Ovis aries: one gene and its partner. The protein of the gene in region 2 binds, or shares a complex with, the protein of the main gene of each other region. Links are inferred from orthologs where the notes say so. Each region holds a gene or a part of one and is shown on either strand. Other genes may lie near its edges.

Region 1 (3,919 bases), on a different chromosome or scaffold from region 2:
ACTCTGATACCTGTGTACCAGTGTTCATACCAGGAGTATTCACAACAGTCAAAAGGTGGACGTAACCCAGGTGTCCAGGGAAGGATGAGTAGATGGGTGTCCATCCATACAATGGACTATGATTCAGCTTCAAAAAGGAGGGAAGTTGTGAATCATGTTACCATATCATAACTCTTGAATACAACATGCTAGAGTGAAACAAGCCAACAAAGATAACAAATATTTTATGATTGTACTTCTATGATGTACCCAGAGTAGTCAAATTCACAGAGACAAAAAAGTAGGTGGTGGGTGCCAGGGGCCAGGGGAGAAGGAAGGGACCAATAGTCTCATGGGGACTCAGTTTGGGAAGATGGGAAAGTTCTGGAGATGATGAGGGGCATGGCTGCCCAACAATACGAATGTACTTAATGCCACTGAACTGTGCACTTCAAATAATTAAAGTGATACATTTTGTGTATTTGTGTAATACACAATTTGTGTAATACATTGTGTGTGTTTAACCACAGTAAAAACTCTAAAAATAAAAAGTGATGTTAATGGTTAGAGAAGAGAGACTTGCATGAAAGATGATGCGATCTGTTCCTGTATATGAAATGCTAGCTGAGGGGGTGTTGATTAGCCATTTTCCCATCTCAGCTGAATAAAAATGAAAGAATATTAGCTTATTACCCAAAGTATCAAAGCTGAGTAATTTTTCCACAGGAAAAATTCTCTTGCTGAAATGTTTCTTAAATTCAAGAATACAATACTAAATGAAATTAGGGACATCGGAGAAGGGATTTTTCATCTTTTCAGATTGGTGTAAGTCTGCTCTGCAGATCAGATCTGCCAGGTGGTGGATTAACTAGACCACCACTTAAGATACTTTCTTCTCTGATTCTGCAAAATCTACTCACTTCATCCTGCTGGGAACATCACCTGGCAACTAAAAGGAAATCTGACTTTAGAAGAAAGGTCTTCTGTGTAAAGTTTCAAAATTATTACAACGTCTATGATTAGTTGCCTGGCCCGGGATTCTCACTGTTTCTACAGAATTTAATCATCAAGTTTCTTAAGACTTACTTTAAAAATTTTATGTGAAGGACAAAAATCAAAACTGTTGACTGGTTTTCTTGTCCCGTTTTCACTTATCTTTTAATATATTCACAGAATGTCTGCAATACATTTGCAAACACACTGGAAAAGGAACTAAATCAGATTCAGTGTTTGCCGTGTATAGTAGTTATTGCATTGTTCATTCAATATGTGACTAGATGTTTTAAGAAAATCTGGTCTTTTCCAACAAATGAAAGTATTTTAAGAAAAACAATAGGACAAAACTCTCAGATTATAGTAACCATAATAATAGATTATAGGACAACTTTCATTTTCAGAGTTTAAGATGCTTATACATACCATAACTTTTATTTGCAGCACCATCCTGACAGACTTTCCTACCTCTCATTATATAAGATACTAACTCTGATTAGAAGGCACTAGATTCCATAATCTTTAAAACTACATCAAAACATGTTTGCTCTTCTTTCTTTGCACCATGGGAATAGTCTTGGGATTATGGTTTCTTGTACTTTTTAAGAGGCCAGTAGTTTTGTAATAAGCACATAACTTATAAGCTGGATCATCAAATATTTATACCAGATCCATAGCTTCCTTGCCCAAGCACAGTTCTGTTTTTGAGTCTGAATACAATTATAAGGTTACCTGTGAAATTCTAGGACCACTTTTCAGAATATGTGTGAGATGGGAGTAGGGAGGTTATTAACATTAATATCTTTCATAGGTGTTCATCTTGTCACCTGCCAAGTCTCCTTCACTTTGCAGGAAAGTGGGGCCCCAGAGATGGGAACAGATACTGTATTGTGTGATTAGCTTTTTTGAGCTCCTTGGTTTCCAGGCACATTTCCTTGCCCTGAGATACAGGTTTCTGTACCGCTTTAACCCACCTTTCCTAAGGATGTTCAACCATTGATAACCACTTTCCCATAAGGTTCGCTTAGTAATGTCCAGAACTTGGACCTTGCCAGTTGGTTTGCTCTAAGAAGAGCTTTTTGTTGTGCTACTTCTCTTGATTCCAGTGGGTTTTTAGTGCTTGTTTTCCACCTAAATCTGAGGCTAGGGCCACATACGTCTTCAGGGTAATTAAATCACATTTCTTATAAGGTAAGGGGAAGTTAAGAGAAGGTTTGAGAAGCAAGCACGTGCATGCATGAGTGTAGAATTTGGTGCCTCGACACCTGGAAACGCTCCCTAAGATCCTGGGCTCTGTGGGTGTCCACCCAAAGTAGCTGATGCTAGTGTTCCCTTCCAGACTTCTCTTTAGGGTCAGGCGTGGAGGGACTCTGCAGACCAGACTCTAGCACCCGCAGGATAGGGCCTGACCCGGGAGTCTCTGCCCGCCCAGCCCTTGATTCTTACTTACAATGCTTGCAATTTTTAGTTAAGGAGTCCGTCAGCTTCTGCAGCTTCTTGCGGTTCATGTTGGGAGCTCAGGAAACCGGGAAGAGGCCGGTGTCCGGCGGCGGCTGCCAGGACGGTTGCGAGCCCTGGGTCTGGGGCTGCAGGCAGGTCTCCCCTGTGTGTGTATGCTGTCCTAACACGCGGCGTGGCCGGGGCAACGTCTGGGCGGCCGCCGATTGGCTGCTGGGCAGGAGAGGGCGCGGTCCTAACAGGCGGCGTGGTCATGGCAACCCTCGGGCGGCCGCTGATTGGTTGCTGGGTCTGAGCTCTCTCACTGGGCATCGGGCCAGGCGCCCTCCGACCGCTTTCCGACTGTGACATCGGCGAGTGACCATCCAGGTGTGTCTGGCTCGGATTCACAACCCCTTTGCTGTGCTGCACCGTAAGTCAAGGTCTGAATTTTGTTTTGCGCTCCGTGCGGGGATGTCTTGGGTGGTGAGCGTGACGCCAGGTCCTCAGGGAGGTCTGGGAACCTGGGGGATGCAGGAATGAGCAGGCGTGGATCCGGACGACAGCTGTGCAGGAAGGGAGGGTGAGGGGCTTGCTCTCAGGTTGCCAGTCCTTTTGCTCTGATGCCAGAAGGGAGTCTGCAGCAAGATATCTTCAAGGTTTTGATGATGTTACTGAGAGCAAGAGGAACTTGTAATAATTATTTATTTTTTTCCCTTCCCTGCTCATTCTTGAGGTAGGCGCGGAGGCTGTCAGTCGAATATGGGGAAAACCCCCTAGCAATTTTTTAAGCTGGATAGAGTCAACCTTCCAAATAAAGACATGCTGACAAAGGACAGTGGCTCTGGGGTACAACCTGAATTTGCTTTTCTGGAAGAATATCCCAGCAAAATGAATCTTTTACTTATTTGAAAGACAAGTTTTTTGACTGCAAACAAAGGCTAATTTTTACATCTTTACTCTGAGAGAAGTTTCTGCTTTTAACACAGATAAGACACCGTGTTTGAATTAAGACAGTAACAAGGGTTAGTTCAGCCAGAAGGAAAAGGTTGTACAATATTCTCCAACATGTCACTTGTTTCACTTCAGAAGCAGTAATTCTTTTTAATATGAATTATTTTATAGTGTGTGTACTATCATTGTGAAATGGAAAGCAGAAAAATTCTACCGACCATGAGTAACGATTCCAAATCAGGTCTCTGATTCTGTTTTCTTTTTTCATTTGTTATGGAATGGAAGACTGGGATGCTGTTTGAATCCAGAGTCAAGGATGCTTGAGGAAGGCAGGCACTGTGTTATCCTGAAGCAGATTCCTTGAGAACAGTAACTAATATGAAATGATAGTGATTGTGAGTTTTCCAGTTAATGGCTAACTGGTATTCCTATGCATAGTCTTGTCGGGCAGGTGTGGCATTTCTAATAGGATTGTAGGGAATGAATAGGGGTGGATGTATTCGGATACATTCACTGTGAGACCTTAGGGACTTGTCAGATGTCAGATATGGCAAAT
Region 2 (3,919 bases):
ATTTTACATTCTCACCAGCAGTGTATGAGAATTCTGGTGGCTTACCGTCTTCATCAACACCTGGGAAACTCAGTCTTTTTTCACTTTAGCTATTCTAGTAAAGTGTGTATCGGTGTCTACTTGCGGGGCTTATTTTGTATTTTCCTAATGACTAAAGACAGTGGAGCATGTTTCATATTCTAATTGACCATCCATATATCTTCTCTGATGATATAACTATTACAATCTTTTGCTCACTTTTTATTTGCCTTGTTATATGGAGTTGTAAGAGCTCTTTATTTATTGTGCATACAAATTCTTTGTCAGATAGATGTTTTGCAAATATTTTGTCCCAGTCTGTGGCTTGCCTTTTAATTTTTTTAACTTTGTTGTTTTTTAAAAATATATAATTTTATTTATTTATTCTTGGCTATGCTGGGTCTCGGTTGTTTTACGGTGGCTTTTCTCTGATTGCCACGAACGGAGGCTGCCCTCCAGTTGTCAGTTGCGGTGCACAGGCTTTTCACTGCAGTGACCTCTCTTGTAGCAGAACACGGGCTCTAGGGAATGCAGGCTTCATTAGTGTGGCACGTGGGTTCAATAGTTGCAGCTGCCAGGCTGTAGATCATAATGAGCTCAGCAGTTGCGGCTGGAGGGCCTAGTTGCTCCTGGGCAGTTGGGATCTTCCCAGACCAGGGATCAAACTTATGTCTTCAACATTGGCAGGTGGATTCTTTACCTCTGAGCCACCAGGGAAGGCCCAATAATATTGTTTTGAAGAACAAAGAATTTTCACTTTGATGACATCAAATTTGTTTTTCGCTTTTCACTCTATTACATTCACCTATTTTTCTGGTTTTATAATTCTACCTCTTACATTTAAATCTTTTGAGTTAATCTGTCTGTATCGTCAGATTTTTGTTTGTTTTGGCATAGTGAAAGTCGGTAAGTCACGTCTGACTTTTTGAGATCCCATGGACTGAAGCCTGCCAGGCTCCCCTGTCCATGGACTTCTGGAATGCGTTGCCATTTCCTTCTCCAGGGGATCTTCGCGACCCAGGGATCGAACTCAGGTCTCCTGCATTGCAGGCAGATTCTTGACCGTATGGAGCCACCAAGAGGCTCACTCTTGAGGGTGGTACACATGCACAAATACTTGCCACGAATGCCTTATCCCTATTTGGAATTATGCCCCCAATCTTTTCCCTATCTTCAGGGCTGTACTTTTTTTTTTTTCCTGACTGTGGCTTCTGAATGCGAAGCAACTCCGGGAAGAACCGATGGAGCGTGCAACTGCCAACACTACAAGTCGCAAAGAGGCCTCCTTGAAGCGAATAGCCACGCGCTCGTCGTGGTCCAAGCAGTTCGCGGCTTCCTAGGCACCAGCTACACAGGCGGCGGTTGCGACCCGGACTCCGCCCCGCGCTCGAGCCGGGGGTGGGGGATGGGGGCCGGAAGTAATTTACGTCTCCCGGTTGCTAAGAGACGGAGCTTCCACAAACCAGACTCAGGTTCTCAGGCTTCTTTTCCTTCCTTTCTCCGCTTCAGCGTCTCCGAATTCCGTCACCATGGCGGACCCAGAAAATGAAGTCTTGCGAAGCACCTTTCCATCTTACATGGCGGAGGGCGAGCGGCTGTATCTATGCGGGGAGTTCGCTAAAGCCGCCCATAGCTTCAGCAATGTGAGTCGTGCTCTGAAACGTTCAGCTACCCATCACTGAGGTCTTGATGATGCCTGGACCACCCTGTTGTTTCCACTATTCCATTGTTACTGATTGATGCACCGCTGTCAAAGATAAACCCCTGTTTAGCCATTTTCTACCATTTCCCATTTGTATTCTACCTGGTTGTTAATTACCAACCTCTGCGCTAACAGTGACCCCGTCTTCTACAGTTTTGCTCAAATGTGTCGTAATTGGTCTCCTTCCTCAGTTTCCCATAACTGGCTAGGAGGTTGGCTAGGGGGCTGCTTGCAGAAGGGAAGTCTCTGGCACACAGCTGCTTATTGAAGGTGGTCGGTCAGTAAATAACATTATAAAACTTTACTGTAGTATAAATTGTCCCAACCCACCCTAAGGCGGTAACAGTTGAGCGCTGTTTTTGGATACCAGACACACTGCTAAGTGGCAAGCTTAGGGGGAGGTGCTGTTATTATGCCATTTTGAAGGTAAGAAAGCTTTTATAGAAGTTGAGTAACATGCCTAAGATCACTGAACTAGCAGGTGGCAGAGGAGGGATTCAAACTCAGGCAGTCAGACTTCAGTGCTGAGGTGCTAACCTTACCATCATACACTACTGTACTGTCTTGCAAATAAGCTATTGGATGTTTTATTATGACTGTTTTTTTTACAACAAATAGCCCACTTGTTACAAATAATGGGGTGGTAGCATAGCTCTCTAACGTGTCCCAAGACTCCTTCTAAAATCAAACTTCTCAGTTGCTACCTAGAGTCTTTAGTCCCTTTGGATCACCAACCGCATCCTAAAACCAGAAATAATGGATGAGATGGACCAGCAATTAAGTTCAGGAGCCCCATCCATTCTCCTTTTTCTAGAAACTGTTTCATCTTGGAGAAGCTCAGGTAGAAAAAAACACCACAAGGGCTTTTAGCTTTGGGTGAGAAGTGGTCTTTTCTAGGAAAGAAAGGCTCTTTCTGGAAAAGTAGGAAGGTCTTAGACGGAGGTGGGTACAGTCTGATGCCTTAGGAAGAACATCACACTGCAGACTATGTAATGATCTCGGACAGGAGAAGGAAGGACATGGGGACAAGGAGAAGCTTTCCATTCCCACTTTGGGTCCAAAATCACAGTTTCCTTTTGCCTGGCATTTTCATCTTAATCCCCTGAAACAATGATTCATTCTCAACAAGCTATATAAAAAGAGAGGGCATGTATAATGGGTAACACAAGTTGCAGATCATCCTAAAATCCATTTTGTTAGCCTTCAGAATGCTTGGTCTTCAAATAGTATTGGTTTTAAAATGTTTATTTATTTGGCAGCGTGGGGTCTTAGTTGCAGCCCATGGGATCTTCATTATGTTGTCCCTTGTGTCATGGGATCTTGTGGCACACGGATTCTCTAATTGCGTCACCCGGGTTCAGTAGTTGTGCTGCATGGGCTTAGCTGCCGTGTGGCATGTTGGATCTTAGTTCCCCGAACAGAGATTGAACCCACAACCCCTACATTGCAAAGCTGATTCTTGCCCCTTGGACCACCAGAGAAGTCCCCTTCAAGTAGTATTTTGAATGTGTTGTACAACCATTTCAGGTTCATGGTTGAATTTGTTAAGCACTAAACACCCTAGGATTCTAAGTGAACTGGAGGAATCCCAGATACTGGGGAAGTTCAGTATATCCACTGGGTAGTATAGTATATTCTCACATCTCAACCAGTAGTTTCCAAGATACCTTGTGAATGATGACTACCCGCAGATTACCTAGTTGACTAAGCAGAGATCAGTGTGGTACTGGTTTTAGTCTAAAAGGATCCAAAGAAGACCTGTTTGCTGGCCCATGGAGTCCCCCTGAAACTCTGGCAGAAGGATTTGGGCTGCTGTGTCCAGTCCAGCTTCTTACCGCTCCCTGCCAGATGCCTGTTAATCTGAGTGGTTCCTTCTTCAGGCTCTTCACCTTCAGAGTGGAGATAAGAACTGCTTGGTTGCCCGCTCCAAGTGCTTCCTCAAGATGGGAGAGCTGGAAAAATCCCTGGAAGATGCTGAGGCTTCACTCCAGGGAGACCCAACTTTCTGCAAGGTGACTGTTGGGGTGGGAGGACTCCTTCTCGCTTTTCTCACTGCCGCTACCTGCAGCAGCCTCTGATGGTTAGAGAGCCAGTAGACTGCCTGGAGTTTACTGTTGTGTTCCTTCATAGATCACTTGCCTCTGCCCCTGTATCCCAACATTTGTTCTCAACCCAGGGATCCTTACGTTCCACCACACC

Evidence for each region.
Region 1: ODAD4 (region 2) and CLXN share a complex: the UniProt entries of both Homo sapiens proteins name them as parts of the outer dynein arm-docking complex. The link is inferred for Ovis aries from reciprocal best matches to the Homo sapiens genes ODAD4 and CLXN.

What each region holds. Positions count from the first base shown.
Region 1 is NC_056062.1:32,840,179-32,844,097, forward strand, and holds the start of CLXN (calaxin), read right to left. Parts: upstream 2,578-3,919; 5' UTR 2,481-2,577; coding exon 2,423-2,480; intron 1-2,422. UniProt on the Homo sapiens protein: Component of the outer dynein arm-docking complex (ODA-DC) that mediates outer dynein arms (ODA) binding onto the doublet microtubule. Seems to regulate the assembly of both ODAs and their axonemal docking complex onto ciliary microtubules.
Region 2 is NC_056064.1:41,838,450-41,842,368, forward strand, and holds the start of ODAD4 (outer dynein arm-docking complex subunit 4), read left to right. Parts: upstream 1-1,459; 5' UTR 1,460-1,547; coding exon 1,548-1,661; intron 1,662-3,600; coding exon 3,601-3,732; intron 3,733-3,919. UniProt on the Homo sapiens protein: Component of the outer dynein arm-docking complex (ODA-DC) that mediates outer dynein arms (ODA) binding onto the doublet microtubule. Plays an essential role for the assembly of ODA-DC and for the docking of ODA in ciliary axoneme.